Rhinolophus ferrumequinum: one gene and its partners. The protein of the gene in region 1 purifies or fractionates together with the protein of each later gene. This does not show direct contact. Links are inferred from orthologs where the notes say so. Each region holds a gene or a part of one and is shown in the gene's direction. Other genes may lie near its edges.

What was found.
Region 2: the proteins of MTA1 (region 1) and HIC1 purify together in Homo sapiens (affinity purification with western blotting; 3 studies listed by BioGRID). This does not show direct contact. The link is inferred for Rhinolophus ferrumequinum from reciprocal best matches to the Homo sapiens genes MTA1 and HIC1.
Region 3: the proteins of MTA1 (region 1) and BCL11A purify together in Homo sapiens (affinity purification with mass spectrometry; 4 studies listed by BioGRID and IntAct, counting the BioPlex papers as one, with this or other methods). This does not show direct contact. The link is inferred for Rhinolophus ferrumequinum from reciprocal best matches to the Homo sapiens genes MTA1 and BCL11A.

Annotation. Positions count from the first base shown.
Region 1 is NC_046289.1:455,631-466,214, reverse strand, and holds the start of MTA1 (metastasis-associated protein MTA1), read left to right. Parts: upstream 1-6,108; 5' UTR 6,109-6,177; coding exon 6,178-6,205; intron 6,206-6,543; exon of another isoform or gene 6,544-6,897; intron 6,898-10,584. UniProt on the Homo sapiens protein: Transcriptional coregulator which can act as both a transcriptional corepressor and coactivator. Acts as a component of the histone deacetylase NuRD complex which participates in the remodeling of chromatin.
Region 2 is NC_046304.1:15,993,802-16,004,182, reverse strand, and holds the start of HIC1 (hypermethylated in cancer 1 protein), read left to right. Parts: upstream 1-6,051; intron 6,052-6,340; coding exon of another isoform or gene 6,341-6,428; intron 6,429-6,852; coding exon of another isoform or gene 6,853-6,977; intron 6,978-7,495; 5' UTR 7,496-7,515; coding exon 7,516-9,660; 3' UTR 9,661-10,381. Other genes in the region: uncharacterized protein LOC117012891, read left to right, coding at 5,629-6,051, 6,341-6,428, 6,853-6,977. UniProt on the Homo sapiens protein: Transcriptional repressor. Recognizes and binds to the consensus sequence '5-[CG]NG[CG]GGGCA[CA]CC-3'. May act as a tumor suppressor. Involved in development of head, face, limbs and ventral body wall.
Region 3 is NC_046296.1:28,337,431-28,347,271, forward strand, and holds the start of BCL11A (B-cell lymphoma/leukemia 11A), read left to right. Parts: upstream 1-4,938; 5' UTR 4,939-5,049; intron 5,050-5,626; exon of another isoform or gene 5,627-5,932; 5' UTR 5,933-6,062; coding exon 6,063-6,117; intron 6,118-8,355; exon of another isoform or gene 8,356-8,363; coding exon of another isoform or gene 8,364-8,412; intron 8,413-9,150; exon of another isoform or gene 9,151-9,427; intron 9,428-9,841. UniProt on the Homo sapiens protein: Transcription factor. Associated with the BAF SWI/SNF chromatin remodeling complex. Binds to the 5'-TGACCA-3' sequence motif in regulatory regions of target genes, including a distal promoter of the HBG1 hemoglobin subunit gamma-1 gene.

The DNA of each region.
Region 1 (10,584 bases):
TGTCTGGCTGTCTCTTCCCAGAACACGCACCCCGGAGGCCCTGGAGGCCACCTCCAGGAGGGATGCCTTGCTCCAGCCCAGCCTGCAAGAGGCCACCTGGGGGCCTGGAGGACAGCGGGGTGGGGGTGGGGGGCTGTGCCAGGAAAGGCCGCCCACACCTGTCAGAGGCCAACAGCTGTGGGCGGCCTGGGAGGGCCTGGTTTATGACCAGCTTCTTTGCGGGCCTGGGCTCAAGGGGTCTAGGCTGGGGGGCCAGGCCCCCTTGAGGAATCAGGCGCCTGCTTGAATGGCTTGGTGAGATGGTGGGACCAGTAGTCCTTAGGAGGGTGGGGCTTTGATATCCTGAGACCTCAGGTCCTGGTGCCTGCCCAGCCCTGGGGTGCCAGTCAGCATTGGGCCCTGCCTCCAGGAGCCCACACGTAACCCGGGGTGACACTGTGATGGGGAGCAGCCAGGGGCTGCAGGGCCAAGGAGCCGCTAGACACGGGAAGGCCTCCTGGAGCAGGGAGCCTCCCCACCTCTGCATGTGAGCGGACTGGCCAGCCCAGAGGCAGCGTGGCGGAGGTCTGGGGTCGCTGTGAGGAGCTGACCCTGCGCCTGCTGTGCTTTTGAGGGGTGGTGAGGCAGGGCTGCATTTTTGGGGAGACCAAGATGGAAGGGGATGGGAAGTGGCAGGGGAGAAAGGGGGTGCTTGCAGGCTCCCAGCCCTCGTGGTGCGAGGACAGCAGCAGGGCAGGCCTTGGTGACTGACTGTTGGGCTGACGGGGCTTCAGTGTGGGCAGCTGGGTACAGGGCGCTCTGGGCAGCAGGAGCTCACCAGCCGCGGGACCGGGGCAAGGGCAGGCGTCAGGCCTGTGCTGGCACCAGCAAACGGGCAGCACTGCCCAGCCCGCTCCTCCCAGAGCCCACTGCTCAGATGCTGCACCCCTGCCCCCCCCATGCCCCCACTCCCGCCCTTCCTGACTGCAGGACTCAGGAAGCTAGGTGCCCCCACTCTCTCTGGGGGCCCTGAAAGTAATTTTGTTCCAGGTCTGTGCATTTCTCAGGATCCCTAGCGTGGGTGGAGGGCCAGAGACGGAGACGACGGGTGGGACTAGGGGAGATGTCCTTAGGGGCGGGGGGGGGGGTTCAGGCAGGGCTTTGTAGCTCCCAATGAGGAAGTGGGGTGGGTGTCAAGGGCAGGCTGCGTGCTGGGCAGGACGGCCTTCCCCTGCTCAGTCAGCCGTTAGGGCAGGTGACAGGTGCTGTGGAGGCCTCTTGCTGACTGGCCTCATGGGCTCGTTAGTCACTCGAGGTCCAGGGCTTTGCTGGCTCACCCGGCCAGGATTCTGGGGTGGCCAGTGCTCTGCCCTCCACGAGGTCCCCCCACCGGGACCAGCTGTCAGGTGGCCCCAGAACCCCCACCACAGTGCCGAGGCCTGGAGCTGGGAGCCTCCTGGGCCGCCTCCCATGCAGGCGGCCACAGGGCCAACCTGACTCTCGGGAATGAGCGCCGTCTCCTGGTGGGGACTGGCACGGAGCCTGCGGCCCTCTCCAGCAGAGCACGGTGCGGGGACAGGGGACAGTGCCTGGAGATGGCTCTGTTGTCACACGAGGTGTTGCTGCCCTAACAGGTCACCACAGACTCAGTGTCTTCAATTCATGAACTGTGAATTCTGGACAGTCCAAAACGTCTCACTGAGCTAGGGTCAGGGTGTGGGCAGGGCTGCCTTCTTTTCTGGGGGCTCCACAGGACAATCGTTTCTCGCCTTTCCAGCTTCTAGAAGCACCCACACACCTTGGCTCATGGCCTCTCCTCCATCTTCTAAGTCACAACGTAGCATCTATGATCCTTTCCATCATCACATCTTGTCTCCGTTCCGCATCCTCTCCCATTAGGGACCCTGTGATTGTCGGGCCCACCCCATAAATAACCCCGGGTCCCTTTCGGGTCGCCTGGTTAGCGACCTGCACTGTCCCTTACCATGTAACCCAGTGCAGTCACAGACATGTGCACCTTTGGGGAGGCACTCTGCTTTCCACAGGGGCTCCTGGCACCGCGTGAATAGAGGCCAGGTGTGCTACTCACCATCCCACAGAGAACAGGACGGTCCCCACAACCAAGAATGAGCGGGCCTCCAATGTCAGCAGTGTCCCCCGAGGAGGGTATAAGGCAGCCCAGGAGCCCAGGTGAGAGTAAGGTCCACCCAGCAGGCAGGGCAGGCAGAATCAGCGTGGTTAGGATGTCACTCCTGGCCACCTCTGACAGCGGGTACTGCAGTGCTATCTCCGTATCCACTCTAGACTGTTCTTTCACTTCAGATTCCCGACCAGGTATGTCTCTCCCCAGCTCTAGGAAGAGCAATGCACCTCCCCGGGACTCACGGGGACACCCCTGATTGGAGGGAGGACATAGTCTCTCGGGTGCAGGCTCTGGGCTGGCCATGTGGTCCCCTTCATGCCCTGGCATCCGTCTGTGCCTCTGCGGCCGGTGTGGAGCAGGGTCTGAGGCTGCTCTAGACACGCCAAGCAGAAAGGGGAGCCCCCTCAGCCCAGCCCCCAGGACCAGTGGGGCACCTGGGAGGTGTAGCTTGCGCTCCGAGGGCCAGTGGACAGCCACTGCCTGGCACTGCCCCCACTGAAAAAAAGGACTTCATTGGCTTTGCGAGGACACTCACTATTCCACAAGCCAACAATAAAGTTTAAAAAGTGTTGCCCACGATTTCATCACCGAGATATTGTTGTCGATGTTCGATAAAGTTTACGCAGGTAGTTGTAAAGGCCCAGGCAAGCATGAGCGGTCACGTGACACACAGAGACCGTGCAGAGCTACTCCTTTAAGTAAAAGCATTAAGGGAAAACATGGTCAGTGAAATGTGAATGCTTCTTTACCCCAAGTTTCAAAGATGCTCCTAAGATTATTTTTAGAAATTACAAAAACCATGATGGGACGAGTGTCACTTGGTTTGAGGCAGCATGCTTCCATTAGCCAGAGCTGGCTCTCCTGCTTCCTGTGTCCTGTGACTGTGTCCTTCCTGCCCACGGACTCCCCATGGTCCCCTGCACCACTCAGCCCTGAGTCCGTACTGACTTCATCATGTCTTCAGTGGTTGGATGTAAGGTAGCTTTCACATTTTTAAAGAATTTTATTTCTTGGTTTCTTCCAGGTTTAAAAATGTTTTCCTGGGGCCTCCCTACTCCCGGGGGGATTTGGCTGGGGAAGGGTTAGGTTCTGCTTTCCTGCCCCAGGCTCCTGTTCATACTTCGGGCGCTGCTGGAGACCAGGGCTGGCCTGACTACGTCCTGGTCTGTGATGCCCTCTCTGTTCTCTCCGTCCTTGAGGGTCAGTGACTGGTAGTCGGGTCTCGGGTGGGTCACGCTGGGGGCTTTCCTAGACTGTGGCGTGAACTCTCACACAGGCTCCCAGCGGGCCCCAAGGGCGCCTCCTTCACCAGTGTCCTGACCGCTAAGCAAGCAGTGCCCCTCGCCATGGTCACTGTCTGAAAGCATGTGATGTCATCACACCATTCGTTACCTTCCCTCCTCCCCTAGACTTTGCGCCCCTAAGAGGGAGTCTCCCAGGTGAAACAGTGTGGCCTGAAGTCGGTGCTGAGTGAACCGCTTTAATTGCTCATCCAGCCACTCCTGTATCAGGGACCTGCCATCCTGCCCCTCCACAGGGGGGCCTCTGCTCTGGCCCTGCTGCCATGTCTCTAGTTCTCGGGCTCCTCCTGAGCCCCGCTCCTGCTTCCAGTGCTGTCCAGTGCTGTTCCAGAAGCTTCCAGTGCTTCCCAGCCCCGTCGGCCTGCCCCTCACTCCCCCTTGTTCTGCTGCTGCTGTTGACTCACGGATGTGCTCTGACCTTCTTCACATCACTCCTGCTCTGACGAGTCTGTTTGCTCTGCTACCAAACGGAGGAATTCGTCTTTTTTGCAATGTATCAGATGTGTTGACTTGGCGGAACTGGTTTATGGCCTTAGTCCTACATGCAGCCACTTTGTCAGTCAAGAGTGGGAGCCAGCTGGAGGAGCTGGGCTGCGGTGTCCCAAGACACTATTAAATGTCATTCTGCTTTGTGACAGGCACGTCACCTTAGGGGAGACTTGGAATTCTGGTGTCTTCCCTCAGACACCGGTTGACCTCAGAGGCCTTACTGTCCACTCTCAGGCAGCCCTTCCTCCCTTCACCCCCACTGGATAGAGGGAAACAGTAGGCTGGGTGCCCATGGCATCTGCTCTCAGGTTGAGGCCTCCAGTTTCTGGGAGGGAGGCAGAAGCTCTTGTGCATGATGGCTGCCTGGTCACCTTCTGGTTGTCCTGACTCCTAGGTCACTTTGTGAGGTGTTGGTGGAGGATTTTACGCTGCAGCTTTGCTTTCCAGAGGAGTCGCAGGCCAGAAAGGGAGGACAGAGGCCTGTGGGGGGGAGGGGAAGCACCCCACTGCCTCTCCTCCCCTTGGAATATCAAATCCTAGTATCACACCTGTGTCCTATACCTAAGCTCCTCCCCCATCAATCACAACTGTGGTCTCACCCCCTCGCTGCCCTTTCCAGCTAAGTTCCTGAGAGATGGTGGCCCATGGTGGTACCACGTGGCATGTAGTCCATTGCTCTCCTGGGACCTCTGCCTGCTTTCATCCCAGCACACGCTCTGGGCTCCTGCCCACCTCGATAGTTCCCTGTAAGGACCTGTCCATGGGGGGGTCTCCTCTACCACGTGGCATCCTGTGCTGAGCCGGGAGCCTCTCCTGAGCTCCACTCCGTGAAAGAGCCCCTCCATGTCCCACAAACTGGACATGCCCCCCCCCCCGCCACAGACCTGCCCCATGTGAGTAAACAGATAACTCAGGTGTTGCTCAAACCAGATCCCTGGAGACCCCAGCACCCTATTTCCCTCACCCCCCAGCAGTGCTGTCAACCCTGTCTCCACACTATGGCTGGGACGCCATCCTCTCTGCTTCATGCTCTCTCCCCTGGGGGCATAAGGACCCTGGTTTTGCCGGCACTGCATGAACCAGACTCTCCACTGTCCTAGGACCTGAAGCAAGAAGTACACAGACTTCCAGATTCCAACTGGTGTGGGAAGGAGAGCCAGGTGCCTCACTGCACACAGGCAGCCCTTCCAGCCCTCCTGTCTTCTGGGCATGGCACATCCTGCCATCCCAACCCACTGAGTCTGGGTCAGTGAGGCCTGCTGGAACCCCAGCCTCAGATGTGTCTTCCAGAGGGTGTCCTCTGGGCATACATGCTGCCCTCCTGCAGCCTTTTCATCAGACCACAGGCCAGGGAGGCCATGCCAGCTCAGTAACTGGTTCACTTGGAAGTGGGGTGGGGACACCCCCACATGTGAGCATGGCTGGGGGAATGGGTTATGAGCGGCAAGGCCTGAGACCCAGGGTGAGTGGAGACAGCAGCCTTGAAGGGAGGTATGGGTCCCATCGTGAGGCCAGAGCATGGCTGCTGGGCTTTAGGGCAGTGGAGGACTTGGAAAAGACCCACCGGAGATGGGGGTAATGGGGGGGGGTGGGAGGCCCCTGGAAGGGTTCGGGAGGCTGTGGAGGGTGTGGTGGGGATGCTGTGGGAAGGGACGCTGAAGATGTGGACCCAGGGATGGGGAGTGGGGAGGACCCACCCCGGTAAGGGACGCTGAGGATGCCAGAAGGACCCAGACATAGGGAGCACCCTAGTGGGTTGTAGGAGGACCCCTCTGGGGAGGAGCAATGGGAGGATCCACGAGGGGAGAACTGGAGGGGATCCACCTGGGGGCTCCAGGGAGGGCCCACGGTGTGGGGAGAACAGGGAGACCCACCAGGGGGCTGGGGAAGAACCACAGGCGTTGGGGGGGAGAATAGGGAGACGCCTCCCGAGAACTTGGGGAAGGACCCACTGGGGGGCCGCGGGGAGGACCCACGGAGTAAGAACGGGGGGACCCACCTGGGGGCTGGGGAGGACCCACGGGGGGGCGCGGGCGGCTGTAACGGCGCCGGCGCCGAGGCCCCTCCCCCGCTCGCGCCGCTCCTCCTCTTCCTCTCCCGCCCGCCGCGGCCTCGGTCCCTGCGCGGCCTCGGCGGCGGCGGCGGCGGCGGCAGCGGCCCCTTTAAACCGCCCGCCCGCCCGCCGCGCCCCCGCCCGCCCGCCCGCGCCTCCATTTTCCAGGCCGCCCGCCGCCCGCGCAGCCCGCGGCCCCGCCGCCGCCGGACATGGCCGCCAACATGTACAGGGTCGGAGGTAAGGCCGTCGCCGGGCCCCGGGCCCCCATCCCCTGCGCGCCGCCCCGACCCGTCCCGGTCCCCCGGGCCCCCGTCCCCCGCCCTCCAGGCCGCGCTTCCTAAACCGCCGCCGGGCCCCATCCCCGCCCCGCCGCACCCGGTCCTGGCCCCAATGTCCCTCCCCTCCCCCACCCCACCGGCGCAGCCCGGCCGCGCAGCCCGATCGGCCCACGACGCCCGCACCCCTGCTCCCCTCCCCCACCTTTCGAGCAGCCTGCCCCTCCACTTCCACCCCTGCCCCGACTGCGGACAGTGGGGGTGGCGGAGTTGGGCCCTGGGGAGCGGGGCTCTGCCCACCTGTTGGGGCGCCTGCGTGACCTGGGGGCCCTGGGGAGAGGCCGAAGCATCCTTTCGGGCCTGGCAGCCAGGGCTGGGCCTGGGGCCTGGCCAGCCCCCTCCCGGAGCTGGAGCACGTGGTCTTGCGAGGTGCTTGTCTGCTCTCCCAGGAGCAGGAGACTTGGGCCTGCAGGGCTGGCTGGAATGCTGGGGGCCGTAGGCCCCTGTGGGGATGGGGAGCCCCAGGCCTGGGCCACGATTTCCCCAGGGTCCAGGGACACCTGAGAGCTGCGTGTGTATTTGGAGGCTTCCCTAGCAGGATCCCTTGGGATCCTCAGCAGGATGCTTCCAAAGCACCCCCAAACTTTTCACTGCCTCCTGTGCCCCAGGCCAGCAGGGAGGTGCTTTGCAAGGGTTGGGGAGAGGCCGGTGACCCCTGCCCTTCTGCCCTGGTGGGGACTGTGCTGAGCAGGCTGGGGCCCTGGGGGCTTCACCCTCTTGGGCCCCAGGAACCCCCCTTACCTTTGGGCCTTGCCCCACTTTGTGGGGAGGGTCCTCAGGGACTCTGTGCCTCTGGATTTCCATGGAATTCTGAGCTGGTCCTCAGGTGGCTTCTCCACAGGGAGGTGAGGGACCTTGCAGCCCCCCATTTCATCGATGTTCAATCTTTCTGAGACTGTCAGACACTCACTTGCCCACCTTTGCCCGGCTCTCCAAGTCACCTCTGCCCCCAGTCTGCCCCCTCACTGGCCTGCTGACCCCTGGGTGTCTGGGACACATCTCCATCTAGCCAGGCCTTTTTTGTGACCAGGACCCCATCTGTGCAGTGGGTCATCAAGGCACCTGCCTGCTGTCCGGCCCTCCTCTGCCCTCTCAGGTTCAGAGGTGGTCTCTAGAATGGGGGCCTGCACCCCACTTAGCAGCAGGCCCTTGGGGAAACAGGGAACAGGCAGGGTGCAGGGGCCCTGTAAGGGAGGAGCCCGTTCATCTCCCACCTTGGGGAGGCAGGAGTGTCACCACACCCTAGGGAAGGCCCCATCACTGCTGCCCTGGACCCCCAGGGGGCCACTTACCTTTCTCCACCCCCCAGCCCCTCTGCACAACCCCCAGCTGCTGTGGCTCAGGGCTCCTGCATCCATCCCTCTCGATGCTGTCCCCCCTTGCACCCTCCTGGACCACCTTTGTGCCACACAGATCCCCTCCTACCTTCTGTGAAGCCCCCATGGCACCTGCTGATGGGAACAAGTCCCTGTGACCTGAAGCCCACCTGCTGCCCCCTTGAGGTGACCAGCTAGAATCCCCTCTTGCAGGCATGGTCTTACCCTCGCATCCCGTCTGGCCCTGAGTGCAGAATAAATGAAGGCTGAGGGGGAGGCAGGGTGGGGGCTGCAGCCACTGTGCCTTTGGCCCTGCCCAGGCACCTCTACCCGCCTCTGCCTTGTGGGGCCTCCACTGTGCCTGCTTGTTGGGATTGGCCCTTCCCAGGCTCTGGGCCCCTGGACCCCGACTTGGGGTCTCCCCTTGCGTGTGGGTTGTGTCACTTAGCCTCTAGGTCTCCTACCTGCTTGAGTACTCAGCAGGGGCCCGGCCACCCCCCAACCTTCCCTTGCCTCAGTTTCCCTGAGGTGTGGACAGGGCTCTCTGACCTGCAAGGGCTCCTGGGGAGGCCTGGCTGGCCTTGAGTCTGCGTGTGCCCCTCTGAGGGTGCTGTGGGATCTCCTCCCAGTTTCAAGTGGCGCTCCGCAAGTGTGACCACAGGCTCCACTTTGAACTCCTGTCAGCCCCTGGGAAGACCCTAAATGTGGAAGAAACTGCATTTAGCCTTGGTTTTGGTTTCGGGGCGGGGACCCTGACGTGCCATCCCCTGGGTCCCGGCAGGGCTGGTGTCACAGTGTGTGCGGTGTTGGCAGGTCAGCATCCTGTTCCCAGGTGCTGCTTTCTTGGGGAGGGGCCATCTAGAAGACGGGCCCTCTGGTCCCTGAGTGGATTGTAGCCTGGAGGACACTGCAGGGACAGTCTAGGAAGGGACTCCCATTGTCTCCACTCAGAACCCTAAGAACAGAGCCTTTTCCAAAGGTGCCCGATTCTGCAAGCACAGCTAAATTTGGGTTTCAGATAAACAATTTCTTAGCATAAGTACGTCCCAAATAACGCATGGGACATACTTATGCTAGAAAATTCTTTGCAGAAATCTGCAGTATCTGGATGTCCTGCATTTCACCTGATGGGCTGTTTCAAGGCCCTGCCAGGATGTGTGGGCGGGGTGAAGGCATGGCTGTGGCTTTGTGCCAGCTGACCAGCTGGGTGGAACGGGTCAGCCTGGGAGGGGACAGGGCCTGGCTCTTCCCAGGGAAGTGACCTGGCCATAGACAGAGGCCTTCTGTCAGTAGGCTGCGAGTCTGGCAGGTGGGTGGGCGGGGCCTGGACACGAGTGGCAGGGTCAGGGTCCACGACCTCTGCCCCTCGGGGCCTGTGCTCCAGAGGACCCGGGCAGGCTTCTGGAACGGGCCGTGGCTGAGGGCTGCTTCTCTGCACACCTGCCCAGGTGCCTGGTGACGTGTCAGCCACCCTGCAGTGTTGTCATGCGGCTGACAGGCTCTGACCATTTCCCACAGGATTTTTTTTTTTTCTTCCATTGCAAGAAGTTAACACCCATTCTTATGGATAGTTTGTTTTTTCAAATATACTTTAAAAAAGTGCCAGGAACATCCTGCCACCAGGCAGCCTCTGCTCTCCCCACATCATCGGTTTTGTGTCTTGCTGCGTTCATTACGTCAGTACGCTGTCCTGCTGTCAGAAACGCTGCTTTCATTTTTTTATTTTAAGCTTTTGACAAGGTAAGACAGTGCCAAGCATGAGCCCCCAACTTCTGAGTGGCCTTCAGGGAAGTGCTGAGCTGCCCCAGGGGTTGGGGCCCCCCTTGTGGCTTTGAGAGAAAAGTTTGACCCTTCTGCTCTTGGATTAAAAAGAAGCAGCTGCTGATCTGAGTTGGAGCGAATCCCTCACGCCTGGGCCCCACAGGGCGGGACCCTTGGGGTCTGGGCACCCCTGCGTGTTTCCAGTGCCTTCCTGGAGGCTGGCTCAGAGCAGGGCATCTGGACATGTGGACATGGGTGCTGGACATGCCAGGCATGGAGGCGGGCGCCTTGTGGTCGGGACCGCAGGGCTCCTCCCGGGCTGCCTCCAGCTGAAGTGGAGGTGCGCCCACCTGGATTCCGGGCGGGTCCCGCCGGTCTGTTGCCCCGAGTCCCCCGGAGGAACCACCCTGAGGCCCCTGCCCAGCCCCCCCCCCCCCGGCACCCCAACGTGCCTTCTCTCAGGAGTTCAGGCTCTGCAGTGTGTCCTGTTCATCGGCCCAGGGCCTCACTCTCCGTGCCTGTCTGTCCTTAGGGCAGCGGGGGTGGGGGCACACAGCTCATGGCAGCACACAACCTTCCTGGGCTCCCAGGACCCCGCACGGCCGGCGAGGGGTGCTGGTGCAGTCTTCACAGTGGTTGAGCCCGGGCGCCGCTGCCCATGTCGGGGCGGCCTTGGGGGCCTGGTGGGCGGGGCTGCTCAGATGCTCTCAGGAGCCTGCCTGCCCTGCCCGTGCTGGTCCCTTGAGTCCCTCCTGCACGTGGTGGCCTCAGGCGCCCACGGGCACCACCTGCCTCCGCACATTTCCAGGGCCTCATTCCTCCGGGTTGGACGTCTTCTCCCAGCTCCGTGGCCTATGCCCGCACTCCGGGCCCTTTCGGCCCCTCCCTGACCACCTGCTGGCCGCTGCCTTCAGAGCCGACCTGCTCATGTCCCCTGCCTGACAGTGCGCAGTGGTATCCTGTGTGGAGGGTCAAGTCTGAGCCTCTAGCGGGCCTGGAGTCCGGCCCCGCCCTGCCCGCTGCCTCTGGGCTCCACTTCGCCCTCTGCCTGGTGGCCCCAGCCTGCCCTTCACGGCCCCCCAGTGTCACCCTCACGAGTGGGTACTGGCTGGGCTCAGGACCCCAAGGTGAAGGCCCAGGTTCCTCCGGGTGACAAGGGGCCGTTTGTCACGGGAGTGAGGTGCACAGAGGGCAGCACCTCCCA
Region 2 (10,381 bases), on another chromosome or scaffold:
ATTGTCTTAGAAGGAGTTTAGAAAAGGACAGGGTATGGAAAAATAAAGAAAAATTTGATTAATTGGTGGCAGGGCTGGGTTGCATTAACTATTCCCAACACTGTCCCTAGGGAAGTCCTGAAGCCAATATCCAACAGCCCCTGTAGTGGGTGATGGTGGTGGCAGGTGACATACACAATGTTTTGAAGAGGTCATCGCTCACACTTCACTGGCACAACAGGACTTCGTCCCTTCTGATTCAATGCCCCCACTTTAGCGCTAATTTGAGACACTGTCTGCAATTGGAACCCAGTACATAGAGATAGACGGCTGAGACGTTCAGACAACGATTTGGGGACCGGGTTGATTTTACACGCCCACTGGCTTCCTGAGGGTTGGCGACCCCGCTTATCGATGGCTCAGAGGAGGAAAGAGTGGGGAGAGAAGTGAGGGGAGGTTGTGACTCCATCAGAAAAATGGGTTCAAGGATTACTCTTCGCCCTCAGCTACGAGTTCCTGGAAGAATGAAGTCAGGCGTGTTTAGGAAAACTTCCCTTTGTCCTCCCCCTTCGGTCCCTAGGAGGCGAGCCTTTCTTCTTGCTTTCAGGTCCCGGCAGCTTCCCTCACACTGAGGAGATAAAAAGAACCTAAATCTCATCACTACCCCTTCTCCTGCCATCTCCTGGTTGCAATACCTCGGCTAGGAGGGCAGGTCAGTCACTGAGGCCAACGGTCAGACACACTCTGCACGCCGTGCTTCCTTCTCTGCCTCGAAAGCGCGGCGGTCGAACCCCGGAGTCGCCTGCCCGCCAGCACCGAACCTCCCGCCCCGCCCCCCGCCCTCAGACTTATCCAATCTTGACTCGTCGCCCCCGCTTCCTCCTGCTCATAGTCTCGCTCAGCCAGGGCTGGCAGTGCGCGGCGCGGCGCGTGGGCGTGCTGCGGGGCGACCATGGCTGTAGACTGTTACCTTCGGTTCCCACAGTAACAATCGAAAGCCACGGTTGCCCTGGAGACGCGGGGGCGGGGCGCGCGCTGCTGACGGCACCGCGGCAGCTCCAGTCAGGCTGACGTCAGGACCGCTGGAGTGGGGGGTCGGGGGCGGGGCGCACAGCGGGGACCCGGTGCCGGACTGCTCCCCGGCTGTGCGACGTGCTTGTGGGCCCGCCGCCCCCCCGCAGCCCCTGGGGACTAGGGACGCGACGTCCCGATGGCGGAGCCTGCGCTGAATCAGCACCGCGGACAGCGGTGGCGCGGGCAGTGAGCGCCGGGCTGAGGGACCCTGGAGGGGGGAGGGGGTACAAAGGTGCCAGGGGCGCGGCAGGTGGCCGGGTCCGCGGTCCTGGGGCGGGGCCAGGCGTCGGTGGCCGTGACTGGAGACTGTTACTGAGGGCGGCCCGGGCAGTAAGCAGTCTAGAGCCAAGGTGCCGGCGCGCTGCCCGGGGGGGAGTGCCTCTGTCGCCCGCAGCTGGGGGCGCTGCTGCTCTTCCTCCCCCGCGTCTCCCGCCTTTCTCGGCCCCAGCGCTCGGGTACAGGCACGCGGCCCTTGACGTCAAAGCCCTGTGACATCAAAGATGTCCCTGCGGAGAGGCACTTCCGGAGGTGGGGGGGAGGTTTTGGGGGTGGGGCGGGGCAGTCCTGTCGAGGCCCCGCCCCCGCCTGGTCCTGAGAGGACAGCTCCTCGCGCAGAGGCGGGAAGTCGGGGGAGCAGAGGGACAGCCCGACGGGACAGGACGGGGAGGGGGCGCCCCGGCTGAATTCAGGGCAGCGGGCAGGTGGGCATCTGTCCGTCGCCGGCGTCCCGCTCAGCTGGCTGGGGACAGCGAGGCTGAGTCACCGCGATGAGGGGAGGGGAGGTGGGGGCGCGTCTCTTGAGGCTCCAGCATCTCCCCACTTTCTTGGGAGAATGGCGCAGAAGCCCCAGGAAAAGCCGCGGGGTCTCCGGGGGTCCATCTTCTGTTCGATGCTCCTCCAAAGTGGCTGCGTCTCCATCTGGGTGCAGGCAGGTGCTGCACGGGTTTCTGTGTACGCCTCCGGTACCGGTTCAACCAGCTGTGAGGGAACCCTCATCCCCCACCCTGCCTCCAACCCTACCTCGTAGGAGCCCTCCAACCTGCTGCCTGCGGGTCTCCTCGTTGCTCTCCCGTCCGTGTCCATGCATCCGTCCATCTATCGCCCGTCCGTGGGTCAGTCTCGCTTACCTGCCGGGCCGCGTCGCGCCCGCGCCAGCTCGCCTCCTGCAGCCCGGCTGGCGCGGCGGCTTTTATAGTCGCGCGTAGTACTCGTGCGGCGGCTCATTCATGCGGCCGCGGCTCCTACACACTGACGCGTTGCCGACGTCAGCAGGGAATTTAGGAAACGGGAAGAGGGGCTATTTATAGAGGCGAGGGGGGTGGGGACCGAGGCGATGAGGAGCTGGATGAAGAGCTGGGAGGTGGAGGAGGGTGCATGGAAGCAGGAACGGGGGGCGGGAACCCATGCCCCATGTACCGGTCTACAAGGGGTTAACTTTCCGGAACTGCGGGCTGGGGACCCGCGAGAGGATAATGCGGGGGGGCTGACGGGTCCCTTACATATTTATTCACTCTGCGACACCTGGGATGCAACCCTACTCCAGCCCAGCCTTCCAAGGTCCTCACCGGGTAGTACCCAATCCTACTCCTTAGTTTCTGGACCCGAAGGCTCTGTGACGTCACAAGATGTCCCACGGCGGCGTTATACTCCAATGGTCACTGCGGTGTTGTCACCCTGAGGAGTGAGGCAGGAGAGGAAGCTCCAGTGTGTGTGGGAGGGGGCGGGGGTGAGGGCGCTAGGGCAGCACCTAGAGCTATGGTGTGGATAGGGGAAGAGTAGGGAAACTCAGGGATCTCGAAAGGCTTTGTAGGAAGAGGCTGGGCCTGGAAGGAATGCCCAGTGGGGGTCCAGGTATCAGTTGGGAGCTGGAGACAAGAGGGAAGGCAGAAAATTGAAGAGGGTGGCTTGGACTCGCTGGAAATGAGCAAGGGGGTCCTCTGTGGGGGAGGTGGGGAAAAGATGGCAGGAGAAGGGGGGGCAAAAGGAAGAGGAAGCCTCAGCAGGTAGAGAGGAGGACAGGTCCCCTAGTGTCAGTGTCAGACCCTGGCACTGCAGACCACGTTTAGGACCCATTTGTGGAATGGTGGCATTGACAGAGCTCATATGGGGGTGATAATGAGTGAGGGCTCCGCAGCTTGGCAGAAACAGGTCTGGGGGGGGGGGCAGGGCAGAGGAGTTCGAGTTCCTGGAAATCAGAGTGGGCAGGAAGGGCCCATGCTATGTGGGTGGGAGTTCCTCTGGAGAGGACCAGGGAAACGAATGATCCTGGTCCACCCTAGCTCCATCAATTGAGATGGGCTCTCAATCAGGGAAGGGGAGTGCATTGAAAGAGAGGAGCTGGATTGGGATGGGGAGGGGGCAGTGCTAGGCCAGGGCAGGTGGAACTAGGGAAAGGTCAAAGACTGAAGAGTGAAGCCCACAGGAAGGTAGCTAGGCTGGGGCATCTGTGAGACCCTCCCATACAGATGTAAGGACAAGGGCTGGGGCAGTGAGCTAACTTGGAAAGCAGGGATCCAGGTAGAGTGTTGAAAAAAGACAAGGAGGGCCGGCCAGGTGGCTCAGGTGGTTGGAGCTCGGTGCTCCTAATGCCAAAGGCTGCTGGTTCGATTCCCACATGGGCCAGTGCCAGATGGCTCAGTTGGTTAGAGAGCATCCTCTCAACCACAAGGTTGCCAGTTTGACTCCCACAAGGGATGGTGGGCTGCGCCCCCTGCAACTAAGATTGAAAGGACAACAACTTGACTTGGAAACGTCCTGGAAGTACACATGTTTCCCAATAAATTCCCCTTCCCCTTCCCCAATAAAATCTGAAAAAAGGAAAAACACAAGGATAGTGGGCACATGGGTCCACAGTGGACAGAATCCACCACCACACAAAAGAGACACAGAGCTGAGGGGCAACTTGTGAGGCTAGGATCTTACCCCATCAAGAGGATAAAAGATTACAGCAGAAACAAGGTTAGAGAGGTCCTCCATACTCTTTGGGGTCTGGCTGACTAGAGTTTTTTGTTTGTTTGTTTGTTTGTTTTGCCTCCAGGCTTCCTCCCAGAGGTTCTCTTCTCCAAGAATGCCTTCCTGCCTGGCGGGAGAACTCCTCTTCATCCATCAAAGCCCAGTTCTAAGAGCACTTCTGAGGACCCTTCCCACCTCTTTCCAGCACTCCTTTCACTTTTCCGTCTCAGCGCACAGCACGTCCCCCTGCGGTAGGGGTCTGCAGCTCAGGAACCCCATTTTCATTTTTGGAACGTTACTACTTCCCTAGTGAGGCCATCATGGGAAGACAGAAGAGAGGATTAGGATAAGATTGATCCAGAACACAGACTGGAAACAGGGTGAGGGCGGACTCCGCGGTAGGAATGGGGACTTGCGGGGACCAGGAGCCGCCTCCTGGCCCCGAGGCCATGAAGTCTCTCGTGGAGGAAAGGGAGCCTCTGGGGGGCGCCAGAGCCTTTGGTGTCCGTCAGGGACCGCGAATGGCACCGCCGGCGTCCCCTCAATGAGTGATTCAGCCACTACCTCTAGCGGGGCATCGGGGCGGAGGGCCGCATGGGGGGCGGCGAGCATGGCCCCCACCCGCCCAGCGGCCCTGAGCGGTTGTTATGTTCTCCAAGGCCTTGGAGAGACGCGATCTGGGCGAACCTCAACGGTTACTATGGTAACTCTGCGACCCAGCCTCTAGCGAGGCAGCTGAGGAAGGCGCAGCCAATCAGCAGCTGCAGGCGTTCTCAGGGACCCACTCCCACCCCCCACGTGTGGGCGGGGGTCAGGAGGTGCGGGGAGGAGGAGGAGCGTGGGCCGCAGCGAGACCCCGCGCCGCTACCAGCTTGATGCGGGCTACTGGGCTGCGCGGGGACGCTTCCGGAGTAACCCTGCAAATGCCTGTGCGCCAGTGCGGGGTCCCCTTCCTCCCACAAGAGGTGTCACCTACAAGAACCGGGCCTTCACGCGGGGTGCAGGACCTTGCGGGGGATCCCGGGCTGCAGGCCCTCCTGTCACGTTTCTCTCGGATCGGTGTGTTGGAGATGAAATCGTCCAAGCAGGTCCCTCAAAATGGCTCACTCGGGAATCTGGGGGCTGCGCTCGCTTCCGTGGGATCCCCAAAAGACACTGTCCAGCAATTCCCAGTCGAATATCCTATGGCCCCTCTATAGATCTGCAAGTTCAGTGTGGCCTGTTTGGGTAACGTGTCTGTCCAGGTTAACGGAGGGCCCTACGTGGCAGCCCCCAGAGTATTACAGAGAGCCGGGACTTGGACTCCGGAAGGGGGCAGGCAGGTGTATCTGTGCAAATTTGCGCGCCCGCAGGTGTCAGTACCTGGAGAGGATCTGGGTGCAAACGGGTTTATTCTGTGCATGTGTCATTTTAACTCGTGTCTGAATGAGGATATGTGTGTTTGGGGGTGGCTACAAATGGACAGTCCCATCCAGGAATGTCTAAGTAGAGTCCCCCAAGATCTTGTCTATCTTCCTCTTCCTTAGGATTTCCGTAACCACCCTCCCACCATCTACTGTCACCAGAGTCTTCTCCTTGAGGGCAGGACTTCTCCGAATTGGGGCAATGTGAGAATCTGCAAATATGTACACCGGAGCATTTAGCTCAAAACCTCGGGGTTTGTGGGGCTCGCAGGTCCGGAGCTTGGGTTCCCAGTCGGGCATATCCGGGAGGGTGAATCTGCGAATAGGCCTCCCTGCAAGATCCAACTCCGCATCTGCGAGCCTCCAGCCCAGGTGCGCGAGAGGGAGGTCATGGCTGTGTCGCGCAAAGCTCCGCGCGACCGCGAGGTGGCTCCATAACTGCAGCAGAACCCGCCGGCCCGGGCCGCTCCAGATAAGAGTGTGCGGAAAGCGCGGCGGGGCTGAGACGCGACCAGGACGTGGGGAGGACGGACCAGCAGGACAGACCGACCGGGGGCCCGGCGGGCGGAGGGCAGCACAGCGCAGCCACGTCCCCCCTGGATCCGCCGGCAGCCGGGCCCGGGGCTTCCGACATGCCCCCCAGGTGGGTCCTCGGGCTGGGGACCGGGAGGGACAGGGGACCTAGACAGCCCGGTCCTCGCGCGCTGACCGCCTCGGGCGCATCCTCCGGCGCGGCCGTCCCAACGCGGCTGGCGTTCGGAGCTCCGAGTGTCGCCCCTGGAGGACTCAGGACCACAGGGTCGCTGTTCTGCGCCGGGTTCACGGCGGGGTCAGCGGCCCCGGCCGGCTCTGCCCGCACATGGGCTGGAGAGGCGAGGGGAAGGGAAGGGGAGCTGGCGGGCGGGGCTGGCAGGGGCGCTGCCCTGGCACAGTTCGGCGCCTGGCAGCGGGGCGGGTGGGGCACGGGCAAGGAGCTGCCACCACCGCGGGGAGGGAAGCCCGGTCGGGCTGCGGCCGCAGGTAACGGGCCGCGAGGCCCTGCGGGCCAGGCGGGGAACAGGGGAGGGCGGGCGAGCGGGCGGGCAGGGTAGCTCAAGGCTCGACTCAGGCCCTGCGGTCGCCGGGCTGCCAAAATGGGGGGCGAGAGAAAAAGCTGGGAGCCGAGGGGACTGGGGCTGGTGCGCCCCTCCCGGCCTGTCTGAAGTTGGGAAACTTTTCCCCAAGTTTGGGGCGGCGGAGTTCCCGCGGAGAAGGGGAGCTGGGGAGGGTGGCGCCGGTCTGCGAATGCAGACCTAAGGCCGAGGCCCGGCCGGGACGCGGGTGGGGCGCAGGCCGAGGTCAGGGCCGCAGCCGGCTGCGCGCCGTGCCCGCCCGGGGCGCTGCCCCCTCCCTCCCCTGGGAGCTGCGTGGCTCCCCCCTCCCCCCCACCTGCTTCCTGCCTCAGCCTCCTGCCCCGATATAACGCCCTCCCCGCGCCGGGGCCCGGCCTTCGTGCTCTGCCCGCCACGGCAGCCGCTGCCTCCTCTCCTGGTGCCGCGGCCGCCGCCCGGGCCCCAACTGAGGGCCTGACAGCCCCCGGCCAGGGCGGCGCCACGGCGGCCACGGCGCTCCCCTCCTCCGGATCACTTCCCCCAACTGGGGCAACTTCTCCCGAGGCGGGAGGCGGTTTTCACTCGTCTGCCTTAGATCCCACTTGGGCAAACTTCTCGGCCCTGAATGACTTTTCCTGAAGCGGACATTTCCCTCAAATCGGGTAACTGTCTCCGAAAGGGTCACTTCGCCCGAACAGTTTTCTCCTTGGAAGCCCCCCAGAAGCCAGCCTGTGTGCCCGGTACCTCCGGGCCTGGGGTGCAGGCCAGCCTGGCCTCCTCTCCACCAGCCACTCTCCTGCTCCTTCTTCTGGTCTGGGCCTCCGGCCCAGGCTCCCACACTCAGAGGCCGCTGATCCTCCGCCAGTGCCCAGGCCACGGTGCTCGATGCCCGTGCCTAGCTGAGGGGAAGGGAAAGTGGAGGGGAGACGCGCCGGGCTGGGGACCAGCAGCGAGGGCTCGGTGCGGCTCTGAACCGGCTGGTGTGTGTCCCCGCAGGAGATTGTGCTGGGCAGAGGATGCTGGACACGATGGAGGCTCCCGGCCACTCGAGGCAGCTGCTGCTGCAGCTCAACAACCAGCGCACCAAGGGCTTCTTGTGCGACGTGATCATCGTGGTGCAGAACGCCCTCTTCCGCGCGCACAAGAACGTTCTGGCGGCCAGCAGCGCCTACCTCAAGTCCCTGGTGGTGCATGACAACCTGCTCAACCTGGACCATGACATGGTGAGCCCAGCCGTGTTCCGTCTGGTGTTGGACTTCATCTACACCGGCCGCCTGGCTGATGGCGCAGAGGCTGCTGCTGCGGCGGCAGTAGCTCCGGGGACCGAGCCGAGTTTGGGCGCCGTGCTGGCTGCGGCCAGTTACCTGCAGATCCCCGACCTCGTGGCGCTGTGCAAGAAGCGCCTCAAACGCCACGGCAAGTACTGCCACCTGCGGGGCGGCGGCGGCGGCGGCGGTGGTTATGCACCCTACGGGCGGCCAGGCCGCGGCCTGCGGGCTGCCACGCCGGTCATCCAGGCCTGCTACTCGTCCCCAGCCGGGCCTCCGCCGCCGCCCAGCGTTGAGCCGCCGTCGGGTCCCGAAGCCGCAGTGAACACGCACTGCGCAGAACTGTACGCCTCCGGCCCCGGCCCGGCGGCCGCACTCTGTGCCCCGGAGCGCCGCTGCTCCCCACTCTGTGGCCTGGACCTGTCCAAGAAAAGCCCATCGGGCTCCGCGCCTCCGGAGCGGCCGCCTGGTGAGCGCGAGCTGCCCCCGCGCCCAGACAGCCCTCCCAGCGCCGGCCCCGCAGCCTACAAGGAACCACCGCTTTCTCTGCCTCCACTGCCACCGTTGCCCTTCCAAAAGCTGGAGGAGGCTGTAGCACCTCCGGACCCGTTCCGTGGCGGCGGCGGCAGCCCAGGACCCGAGCCCCCCGGCCGCCCCGACGGGCCCAGCCTCCTCTACCGCTGGATGAAGCACGAGCCAGGCCTAGGCAGCTATGGCGACGAGCTGGGCCGGGAGCGGGGGTCCCCAGGGGAGCGCTGCGAGGAGCGCGGCGGGGACCCGGCATCCTCGCCCGGGGGGCCCCCGCTCGGCCTGGCTCCACCACCGCGCTATCCGGGCAGCATGGACGGGCCTGGCGCGGGAGGCGACGGTGATGACTACAAGAGCAGCAGCGAGGAGACGGGCAGCAGCGAGGACCCCAGCCCGCCTGGCGGCCACCTCGAGGGCTACCCATGCCCGCATCTGGCTTATGGAGAGCCTGAGAGCTTCGGTGACAACCTGTACGTGTGCATCCCGTGTGGCAAGGGCTTCCCCAGCTCAGAGCAGCTGAATGCGCACGTGGAAGCGCACGTGGAGGAGGAGGAGGCGTTGTATGGCAGGGCCGAGGCAGCTGAAGTAGCTGCTGGGGCTGCGGGCCTCGGGCCCCCTTTTGGAGGCGGTGGGGACAAGGTCGCTGGGGCTCCCGGTGGCCTGGGCGAGCTACTGCGGCCTTACCGCTGTGCATCGTGCGACAAGAGCTACAAGGACCCGGCCACGCTGCGGCAGCACGAGAAGACGCACTGGCTGACCCGGCCCTATCCATGCACCATCTGCGGGAAGAAGTTCACGCAGCGTGGTACCATGACGCGACACATGCGCAGCCACTTGGGCCTCAAGCCCTTTGCGTGCGACGCGTGTGGCATGCGCTTCACACGCCAGTACCGCCTCACCGAGCACATGCGCATACACTCGGGCGAGAAGCCCTATGAATGCCAGGTGTGCGGTGGCAAGTTCGCACAGCAACGCAACCTCATCAGTCACATGAAGATGCACGCCGTGGGTGGCGCGGCCGGCGCAGCCGGGGCACTGGCGGGGCTGGGGGCGCTGCCTGGCGTCCCCGGCCCCGATGGCAAGGGCAAGCTCGACTTCCCTGAGGGCGTCTTTGCTGTGGCCCGCCTCACCGCTGAACAGCTGAGCCTGAAGCAGCAGGACAAGGCCGCCGCGGCTGAGCTGCTGGCGCAAACCACGCACTTCCTGCACGACCCCAAGGTGGCGCTCGAGAGCCTCTACCCGCTGGCTAAGTTCACCGCGGAACTGGGCCTCAGCCCGGACAAGGCGGCGGAGGTGCTGAGCCAGGGAGCGCACCTGGCCGCTGGGCCCGACGGCCGGACCATCGACCGTTTCTCCCCGACCTAGAGCGCCCCACAATGAGGCCCGCCCCACTGCCGCTGCGTGGCCCCTGGCCTGTGCCTCCAGGGAGCGGCGGCAGCGGCGGCAGCGAGCCGGCACACCGTGGCTCCAGGATAACTGTGGTAGCAGCGGCAGCGTCACCGCAGTGGCGGCGGCCCCACCTCTCTGCGGCCTCACCTGGCCTCACTGCTTCGTGCCTTAGCCCGGGGGTGGGGGTGAGGGGAAAACCCCGGGACGGGGGTGGGGTGGGGGAAGGGAGATTTATATTTTTGATATCAGCTTTGACCAAAGGAGACCCCCGGCCCTTCTCCGCCTCTTCCTGTGGTTCGTTGGCCCCATCCCCCGGGCTCCGTGCTGCTTTTTGGGGGAGGGGTGTCACTGTTGGGGCGCTCCCAGCCCTACCTCCGGCCCTTGCGACCACTCCCATTCTCACTGTGAATCTCCCCGCCGGGGTCGGAGCGTCGGGCAGAGTTGGGGAGCGGGGAGGGGACTGAGCCGGCCGGAGGGCCCCCTGCCCCCGCTCCCACCCGCCCGGGGACTGATAATGTGAAGTTCCTCATTTTGCACAAGTGGCACTAACCCCAGGGCCCACCCTTCCCTCCCTCTGGAGTCAGAGGGCTAAGACAACCCTGGCCTACCCGGTCTCCCACTCCCACCGTGTCTCCTCCTTCCTTCCCTGGGGCCCCGGACCATATTTATTGCATGCGCCCCGGGCAGCCCCACACCC
Region 3 (9,841 bases), on another chromosome or scaffold:
AAAAGCAAAAAGCTTCATGGAGGGGGGGCACATAGGAAATGAAGTTTGAGATCTTATTAAATTTATGTTTGTACTTATTGTGTTTTTTCCTTAGAAATGCTCTAATTTGGGAAATCAGATTTGTACATCCAAAAAGCAATGTTGAAAAAAAAAATGGATCTTTTGATACTGGGGTTCTTAATTACCTATGGCTTATTTGGAAGATATTGACAGTGGTGGGCTGCTGGAGTTGATGGAAACATCTTGCATTGCATTTTTAATTGTTCAGCTGCTCTGATATTTGGGATAATCATTTTGAGCTCACCATCCTTGGTGGGAATCACTTTTAGGCTAAAATCACTCTTAATTAGGGTTGCCTGATCAAAGTCTTAGTGGTTTCCTGAGGAAAACCAATAGAATATAGATGGTTATATTCATTTCATTATGTGGTGATAGATTTATTCACTAGTCACACAAAAAAACACATTTATTGAGCATCTACTATGTGCTGAGTATCGCATTAGGACTTTCTAATATAGTACGTGGACTGGGCTTCATTGGCCAGCACCTCTATGCCTTTGATGTCAATATTAGGGGAGCTAGACTGAGCATTTCACCCTACAGTGCTCTAATCAGAACTCCCTGTTGTCTTCAAAGGGGATTCTTACTTAAGTGGTGAGACTACTGCTTCCCCCACTCCCCATACATTATTGACTCAGCACACAGCTCCCCAGTCTGGAGGCAAGTACAGACTTATTTAGAGCAGATTCAGCTTTTTCCTTCCTCCTCTTTATCTCTCCCTTCTTTAATTTTTGGATAGGTCCATTCAGGTATGTGAAGTAGTTTGCCAGCCAGCCAAAAGCACAGGGAGCCTCTGGAGAAGTACCAGGCTGTTCCCCCAGGAACCTCCCTAGGGGAAGTCTGGTGCCTTTGCAGAAGATGTGGACACTGCCCCTCCAGGGGCCTCCTCAGGTCCCAGGCTCTGGATCACACTGGAAGTAGAGGAATAAGACATGTTATGTGTGTGGAGGGGTGGAGGGCTGGGAGTGGGTGTTTAGGAGCTTAGGGAGTCTGAGGAAAGAGGGGACTGTGGCCTTCTGCTCACCTTTCAATTTAGAGGTGCCTACACAAAGCCCATCCCCTTCCTCTCACACAACCCTCTTCCCTTCTCTTTTTTAATTAATATTTCCTTTGTCCTAAACAAAATCCTAGTACTCCTACCCTCAAGAACCCCAATGCAAAACCTATGCCTAATGTAGAATCTATACCTAAGTTTTATTTTTATGAGATGACTGCCCTTTCTCTATCTTCTAAACTGTCCTCTAGGAAAAAAAAAAGTGAAAAAGCAAGGTGGGATCGATTGCATTTTTAAACCATCATTCATTCAGTCATTCATTTATTTATCTTTAAGTTCATAAAGGTGGTTTCCCCCTAAAGGCAGACAGTGAATATTTTACATTAATCTTGTAGTTTCCTTCTAGACGGACCTTTAACCCTTCATTCTCTGGCTCAGCCCAAGTCCCCCGCGCCAGGCGATCCTCTGTACGAGGGCTGGGACTGTATTAAGTCTCCCTCTTCGAGCTGTTTGTTGACCACATTCACGTTCAGAGCCCTGGAGCTAAAAGCACTTTTACACCATAAAATAAAAGCAACTGTCTTTTTTTTCTAAAAGGTTACGTCTGGAGGCCACGCGCTCATACTTCATACCGAAAACTACTGAAAGGACTATGAAATCCTCTATGATTTACACTCTCTCACTGCATTAGAGTATAGATCTACTAGACTCTAAAAATACGGTGAGTTTCTAACCGACGTGAATATATGTGCATTATTTCAGAAAGTCTGTTAGAAAACTTGTCAACACATTATAAAGCATAAACCAGGACTTGGCTATTAAGTACGGAGATCAGAGGCAGAATATATACTGCGAGGAAGTCCTGGGGAGTCTCTCCTCCGCGGGCAAGATAAAAAGGGGGCGGAGGGGAGGGGAGGGGTCCTCGGTTGGCCTGGAGTTTACACGCAATGTCGTCACCAAAGGTTTGGGAAAAAGCCCACGGAGCGTAATTGCCCCCTCAGTGGAACCAGCAAAGGTTCTACAGCTCCAAATGAAGTTAACTGAACGGCCAAAAAATAATTTTAACGTTGTCATAATTTATTACTTTCTAAAAGCCACTTTTGGAAAGGTAAATATACTTATTGTGTATTCACGTGTGCGCGTTTAACGTGACCTTTCACCCCTCTACAAAACCACCTGCATCATTAATCAATACTTATGTAATATTTTTAAAGCTCTTAAAACAACACATTTTTATTTCTTTAAGCACACATAAAAACCCTTCCCCTCCCCCACTTTTGGGGCGCTTTAGCGAGCATCTAACCCCAATGAGGGAGGGGGGCGTCACTCCTAGGGACTAGCCCAAGGAACCCGGAGTGGGGGTCCACGACCAGGAGGGACCAAATGCCTATACACAGCCCTGGTTTTCTGGACTGGGTGAAATCAGGCTGGGGGAGGGGCGGGAGCGGAGGGCATTTCCTATTTCACTCAGGGGCATTTTATGATGGTGAAATGAAATATATGTTAATGGTGGAAACGTTGCTGCTTACCTCTGCATTGGCACCCAGGGAAAGCAGCTGCAAAACTGGGTTTTTAATGTATGTTTTAAGATGTGGTTTCGGAAGGAACCCCCTGGAATCTGAAACAAGTGCAATAACATAGCAGACCTACTTGTAACTAAGTGCTTAATTTCCTATGATTTTTTTAAAAAAGAAAATCAATAAAATGTTGCCAGTTATTTATTGGAAATAACCACAGATAGCGGCCCTGATAGGGTGCCAGTTTTAGAGAGCACACAATTGTGTAATGAATTGTAATTCAGAAGACTGTTAAATGTGAACCACAGAACCTTTCAGAGGTAATAAGTCATTACTTTTACACTACAGCCAACCCTGAAAAGCTTTATACATACCATTATATATAAATCATACATATATATTTCCACAACACACATTCGCCCATTTATACACCTTCTTTGTGTATGGACATTTATGGATGGATGGGGAAAATATTTAAATTTGCAAAACTCGGTTCCGAAAGAATCTGACTCACTATTGTTACCTGAAGGGGTTTTATTTTTCAATTTGTTTTCAAAGGCCTCCCAGTTGTACTTTCTTCTTCCCTTTGCTCACCTTCCCTCCAACCATTCTCCTCCAAGTCCCGCTGCCCAGCCCCCTCCCCCAACTCCGCAAAGACATTTTTTGGTCGCTTTAAGGCTAGTTTAACAAGACAAAAAAATAGACAGTAGTGGAAGAAAGAAGCTGACCTGGTCTGAAGAACTCATGACAAGGGGGAAATGGTGTAACGCACAAACGCACAATCTACAGAGCTTTACTGAAAGTGAAATCTTCCTGCTTCTTAAACGGGATTTGAGTCTCCCTCCTCCCCCAAGCTGGAGGAAACAACAAACCACATTTACACTAACTCAGTCCAGCTTAACATCTTTCCTAATGTTGAGCATCAAAACCTCCTTTTCTTCCTTAGAGGGGCCCGAAGCTTCACCGAGCTAGGCAAGCCAGTCATTTTCTAATAGGTTTGAAACTTTACTAAGACAACACATGAATAAACAGCCGCTTGCCGGCGCGACTGGGAAGTGGGTGCGCGATTGCAAGGCGGGGGCCCTTGCTTAAAACAATAAAGCCCCTGCTGGGTGGGCGAATTTATGAAAAAGACGGCCCTTAGACTGAAGAGGGGGAAGAGAACCACGAGGGGTTGTGGAAATCCTTGGAGCACAGGGGAGACTGCTTGCTCTGCAGATACACACTCACACACGTCCACCTGCAGCTTGGAGTCTCGCGGGCTGCGGCCACCTGCCTCCACCCTGCAAGCTTGCGCCTCCCTTGGACTTGAGTCCCTTTTCCACCTCCCCCCTGCCCTTCCGGATTTGCAATCGCAGCGCGGTCTCCGCGGCGGCAGCGGCGGCTGAAGCTACAGGGTGGCGCAGGCAGGCAGGGAGGCTGGGAGGCGGGAGACGCCGGGGACTTTGCAGGCACGTTTCTGAATAAACTTTCCAATCGCAGGGGGTGCTGTTGCTGTACATTTCACGTAAAACTGAAAGTATCCCACGCCAGAGTGAAGCCCGCTTTTTGACAGCGGCAGTGTGTGTGTGTGTGTGTGTGTGTGTGTGTGTGTGTGTGTGCGCGCGCGCGCGTGCGCGCGCGCATTAAAGAGACAGGGGTTTATTTCCAACAGGTCTTCCCTAATTTCCCGAGAACGTCTGCAGAAAGGCCAGACCGGGGCTGCCGTTTCCCAGCGTGTGCGCCTTGGCCAGGAGCGCTTGAGGAGCACGGCGCTGACCCCCGGCGGTCACCCCACCACATGGCCTCCCCGTAGCTCCAGCGAGACAGCCGTTCTCTTTGCATTCCCCATTTTCTCTCCCCGGGTAACAGCACAGGAATAGTTGTGCTCTGCCCGTAAGAAACATTTCTTTCTATTCCTCAGTGCTTTTGCAGTTGCTCGGGAATGGGAGGGGGTGTGTCCATCCCTGGGACCCGGCTCGGGGACCTCGCTCAATGCCGGGAGCACGTTCCCAGGGATTGGAATTACCGGGACTGCCGGTGCTTTGTCCTCTGGCCTGCGGCCGCTCGGTGAAGTGGACGCCTCGGCGCCTCCCTAGCCCAGGGCCCCGGCTCTCCCCTCCGGGGACCAAAACGTGCCCCCAGTCTGGCTCCGGGTTCTTTATTCCTCAGCCTCTCTCCGCCACCCTAGGGAGATTCGACTCAGTGCTTCTAGTTGCATCCAGACCCAATCGCTTGTGGGGGCGCGTAGAACCACAGCCCTTCCACCCCCAGTTTGGCCTTGGGGGCGCTCTCCCAGCCCTCCGACCCAGGCCTGCACCACTCTCCTCGCCCTTGCCCCTCTCTCCAGGCAGCCAGGGCTCCGGGAAGCCCGGGGGCTGCCCTTTCGGACCCGCCACCCTCCAAACTTGGGCTGGACTCTGTTTCGCCGCGCGCTCCCTCCCGTCTCCCCTCGCCCGCTGCGAAGCTGTAACTTGGAGGCTCAACTCTCAACTTCGGGTGATTTTTCTTTACGATCCTCTCCTTGGGCAAAGTTTCCCGACCGCAGCCGCCGGCTCAGGGCTTTCACTTGGGCCCCGGCGTCCGCACGCGGGGAGAGAGCGCAGCGGCAGTGGTGAGGGGAAGTGGGTGTGCGCACGGAGGAGGGTGTCCGGGAGCAACTCTACCTGGCTTCCCTCCGCCCGCGCTTCCTCGGCCCGGGGCTGCAGTCTCCCCGTACACGCCAGCTTTTTAATAAAAAAAAAAAAAATCTTTCATTTTTGGGGTGCGTGTGCTCGAGGAGGAGGGAGCGCGTCTTGCTGCCCCCAACCCCTGACCCCCCCCCCCGTCGCCCCTTTCTTCTTCCCGGGCCACGCCGCCGCTTCGGCGTTGGCTGCGGCCACTCGTGAGCCCGCGGCCCCAGCTCCCCCTCCCCTCCGCCTGCCCCTCCCCCGGGGGCCGCGTCTGGCATCTGCGGAGCCCCCCGCCCCGCACCTCCCCCGCCCCGCACTGGCCATTGGCTTGTCCTGGTCTCTTTTTCATGTCCAGCCCCTGATGTGTGTCCATTGGTGTGAGCTTCCCCTTCCCTCCTCCCCTCTCTCCTGCTCGCCCTGCCCATGTTTTGTGTGTCTCTGTCCATCCAGACTCCTGACGTTCAAGTTCGCAGGGACGTCACGTCCGCACTTGAACTTGCAGCTCAGGGGGGCTTTTGCCATTTTTTTCATCTCTCTCTCTCTCTCTCTCTCTCTCTCTCCCCCTCTATCTCTCCTCTCTCTCTCTCTCTCTCTCTCTCTCTCTCTCTTTTTTTTTTTGCTTAAAAAAAAAAAGCCATGACGGCTCTCCCACAATTCATCTTCCCTGCGCCATCTTTGTATTATTTCTAATTTATTTTGGATGTCAAAAGGCACTGATGAAGATATTTTCTCTGGAGTCTCCTTCTTTCTAACCCGGCTCTCCCGATGTGAACCGAGCCGTCGTCCGCCCGCCGCCGCCGCCGCCGCCGCCGCAGCCGCCCGCCCGCCCCGCAGCCCACCATGTCTCGCCGCAAGCAAGGCAAACCCCAGCACTTAAGCAAACGGGAATTCTCGCGTAAGTAACCCAATAATAGTAATAATAATTATTAATAATCACGAGAGTGCGCAGGACAGAAGCAAGAGCGAGGGGGGGAGAGGGGTGTGTGCATGCATTTTAAAATTTTTTCACGAGAAAAACCTCCGAGAGTCGGGATAAAAGAGATTAAAGGGAGGGGGAAAAAAAGCAAACCTCATTCCATCTCGAATCATAGCCGTATGTACTTTTGGGACAGCACGCACCTTTTAATTTTACAAAAATTTGACTCCTCCTCTTTCCTGCTTTCCGCTGCTTTATTTCGCTGTTCGAAAAGGAATGCAATGATTTCCCCTCTAATTTTGCAAAATAATGAACAATGCTATGTATGGATGCGAACAACTCTCTTGCAAACCTAGGGGAGGGAACTGGAGGATAAAGGGGGGTTGCTTCCACTCATCGAAGGAAGGAAAACGGGGTGGGGGGGGTAAGAGAACCCAAGCCTAAAAAACAATTCCCAGTGAGAAAAGAGGTGAGACTGGCCCTCGGACATCAGCGCGCTCACGGTCAAGTGTGCACCGGGAGGAAAGTAGTCATCTCCACAATAGTGAGAAAGTGGGATTGTGGGATGGGGCCCCCGGCGCTCTGGAGTCTGCGGAGTGTGGAGAGGGGCCGCGGCGGCTCGGAGAGCCGGGCGACCGGCAAGGACGGGAGACGCGGCCGGCGCTGCCGCCTTTTGTTCCGGCCCGAGGTGGGTGTTTGTCCCGCTGCCTTTTGTGCCGGCTTCTAGCGCTTGCCCTCCCGCGCCGCCGCCGCCGAAGGGCAGGAGCAAGGGCCGGGGGTGAGCAAGAAAGGGAGGGTGGGCGCGGGTGCCGCCACCGCCCGGGTTGTGGCTGCCCGCCACTCCCGGGAGAACCTCAGTGGCGGATAGAAGACGCGCAAAATTAAATCAAATTAAATTAAAAACTAAATATAACAAGGCAAGAGAATGTAAAATTTCTTGCCCCAAAACAGAAGCCAAACGCTCCGCGGGCAGTTTCTGCAACGCGCTCCTCTTTGACTCCCCCCCCACCGCAAAAATCTCACACTCTTTAAATAGGGGGGGGGGGAAATACAATTACCCCCTTCCCCAAAACCTCTTTAGTTGCAAACTTAGAGCGCCGGCGGCACGGAGAGGGAGCGAGGAACTCCCTCCTCTTACTATTTTTTGGAAGATTTTCAAAAAAAGTGGAAGTGGATTTTGATTGGGAAAAATCTCGTGTCTGAATGTTTACAAGCACCGCGTGTGCGGGAGCCTCCTGCCAACAAACAGACAGAGGACCGAGCGCGGCGCGGCAGCCCGGGAACGGGTGGCTGCCGCGGCCGGGCCTCGCTGGGGCCTCGCCGGGCCTTGCCGCGCCCCCGCCCTTCCCGAGATTGCCCACCCGGCGCCCGGCGCCCGCCCGCCGGCACTGCTGGCAGGCCGCGCCGCAACTCTGCGCCAGCGGGGTCCACGGTTCTCTCGCCCCCAGCACAATACCCAAACCTTCTCTCGGCCAACCCGACTGCGAAATCCGCTGGGGAGAAACGCGGCTTTGCAAAACATTTTCATTTTGCGAAGCAACTGAAAAATCGAGTTTTGCGACCCCCCCCCCCCCCCGTCTCTTGTCCACAGCTCGGGACGGCGGGGAGGTCACCACGTGCTTTCCCTGCCCTCCTCCCACCCAGTCTGGTTACCAGCCCCTCGGCTCCGGGAGCACTGACACGCGGCGGCGCGGGGGGGGGGAAGGGTGTTGGGGGGTGGTCAGGAGAGTAATATATTCGAGTACGCGTTTTGGGAGTGCTGAATCTCGGGATTCCGTGCACCTCACCCTTGAGTTCTTTCCCTTTACCCCTGGTCTGGCTCGGTCGGGGGCGAGGGGGGGGTCCTTTTGAGCCTATCAGTGGTGGGTGGGTTGCTGTCTCCTCGCTAACAGAGTGCGTCTGGAAAGGCTGGCGGTGGGCACTTAGGAAAGTTTGGCAGTGAGGAAAAGAAAGGCGTGACAGGGCCCACATCCTTTCTCCTCATTCATGACCCTTATTTTAATTTTTGATGCAATTTTAAAGGGCCACAGATACCCAGTTCTGTAGTTTTTAAATCGGGGGGTGCGCACAGGGAATTGAATTTTTCACTGGGCCCTGGCTGGAACTTATCACAGACTTTGGAAGCTTCCCCCGCCCCAGCACGTTGCGGGGCCCTCCCTCTCCCCACCCCCGCGCATCCCTCCCTCGCCGCTCTCCCCCACCCCCCACTCCCCCGGCTGCGCCGGATGCGGAGCAGACGCGGCGCGCGGCGGTGTGAAGTTACAGCCGGGCCAGGTACCCGCGGGAAGGAAGGGCAGTGTTCGCAGAACTCGGGAAAGCCGGGCCCTTCTTCGGAAGGATGCATTGGGGGCTCAAAGGACAGACTGAGGCGTGCAGTCCGGGCTGCTCCCCTGCCTCCCTCCCCCCATCCCGGGTCCATCTCGGGACACTCCTGGCTGGGTGGATTAGTCCCCTTTTCCCCCCGCCCTAGTGCTTTGGGTTAAGGGACCAGCTTGGAGGGGGTTCGGGGGTCGCTTCTTGTACTGGGTGCAAAGAGGGGGCGGGAGCCATTCAGGTCTTTAGGAACCCCCCCAACCCCCCATCCTCCGCTTCTTGGGCTGAAAGAGAGCCATTCGGTCGCTAGGAGGCAGAACAAGATCAAGAAAGCTCAGCGAACTTGAACCTGTACCAGAGCCTCCCCCCACCCCCAGTTCTGCGTTTCTCCACCGGGGAGGGAAGAGCTTTGCGAGGGTGGGGGTGGGGGAAATGGACGGTTAGGCAGAATTCCCTTTCTCCCCTCATCACCTCTTAGGTCTTTGTTCTTCATTTTGACTTTAAAAATGCTTCAGGCCAGGCCTGCGTGGAAGCGCCTGGGCGCACCGACAGCCCCGGGCACGGAGAGCCGAGCAGGGTGGAGTTCTCGCTTTCTCTCGGGGCGGGCATTTTTGGTAGGGAGGAAAGGGGAGTGCGCGCCCTTCGGCTTCGGGGTAAAGCCAAAGGGCAGGATCCCGCAAGTTTGCACTTAATCTCTAGGTTCACTCCTTCCAACTCCTCATCCCCGCGCAAAGCACCTACCCCCGGCTCCTCCGCCTTCTGCAACTCTCGCCTCCAAGCCCGAAATCACAACAATAGTAATAGTTATCATCGTAATGATGCGGGCAAGCAGCGTCATTAATAATGAATAATCTCAGCGGCCGCCGCGCTGCGCACACCAGTGCCGGGAATTGCGGGAGAAATGCATTTGCCGAGATCTCCCCAAGTAAAGTGTGAGCCTGTGGACACAGAATGAATTTCAGGAGCCGCGCTTGAGGTGTGTGCGGTGATACCGAGACTGCACCAGGTTAACCAGCTGAGTTTTTAAAGCCTCGAGTACCATTTCTCCCAACTGGCGGGCCCAGGGAACCTCGTCACCCGGCGGTCGGGCTGGATGGACGTGGAGGAGGCAGTCGGGGCCCCTGGCCGCCAGCCGCCTCCTGGCCCCGGGCCCCGCGGCCCTGCGGCCGCTGCTGCACGTGTTCGCAGCGAGCGCCGCCGTAGCCTGCAGCCTGCACGCTGCTCGCTTTGTGCTTCATAGTCCCTGCGCCCAACTTCACTTTCTGCACAGCCGACCCGGCCGGGCCCCCTGCCCCGGGCCTGTCGTCCCTGCCTTCGCTTTTGTTTCTTTGCTTTTCCTCTCTACATTTCAGCCTCGGTTTGCTTCCTTACCCTGTTAAAGACAATTATA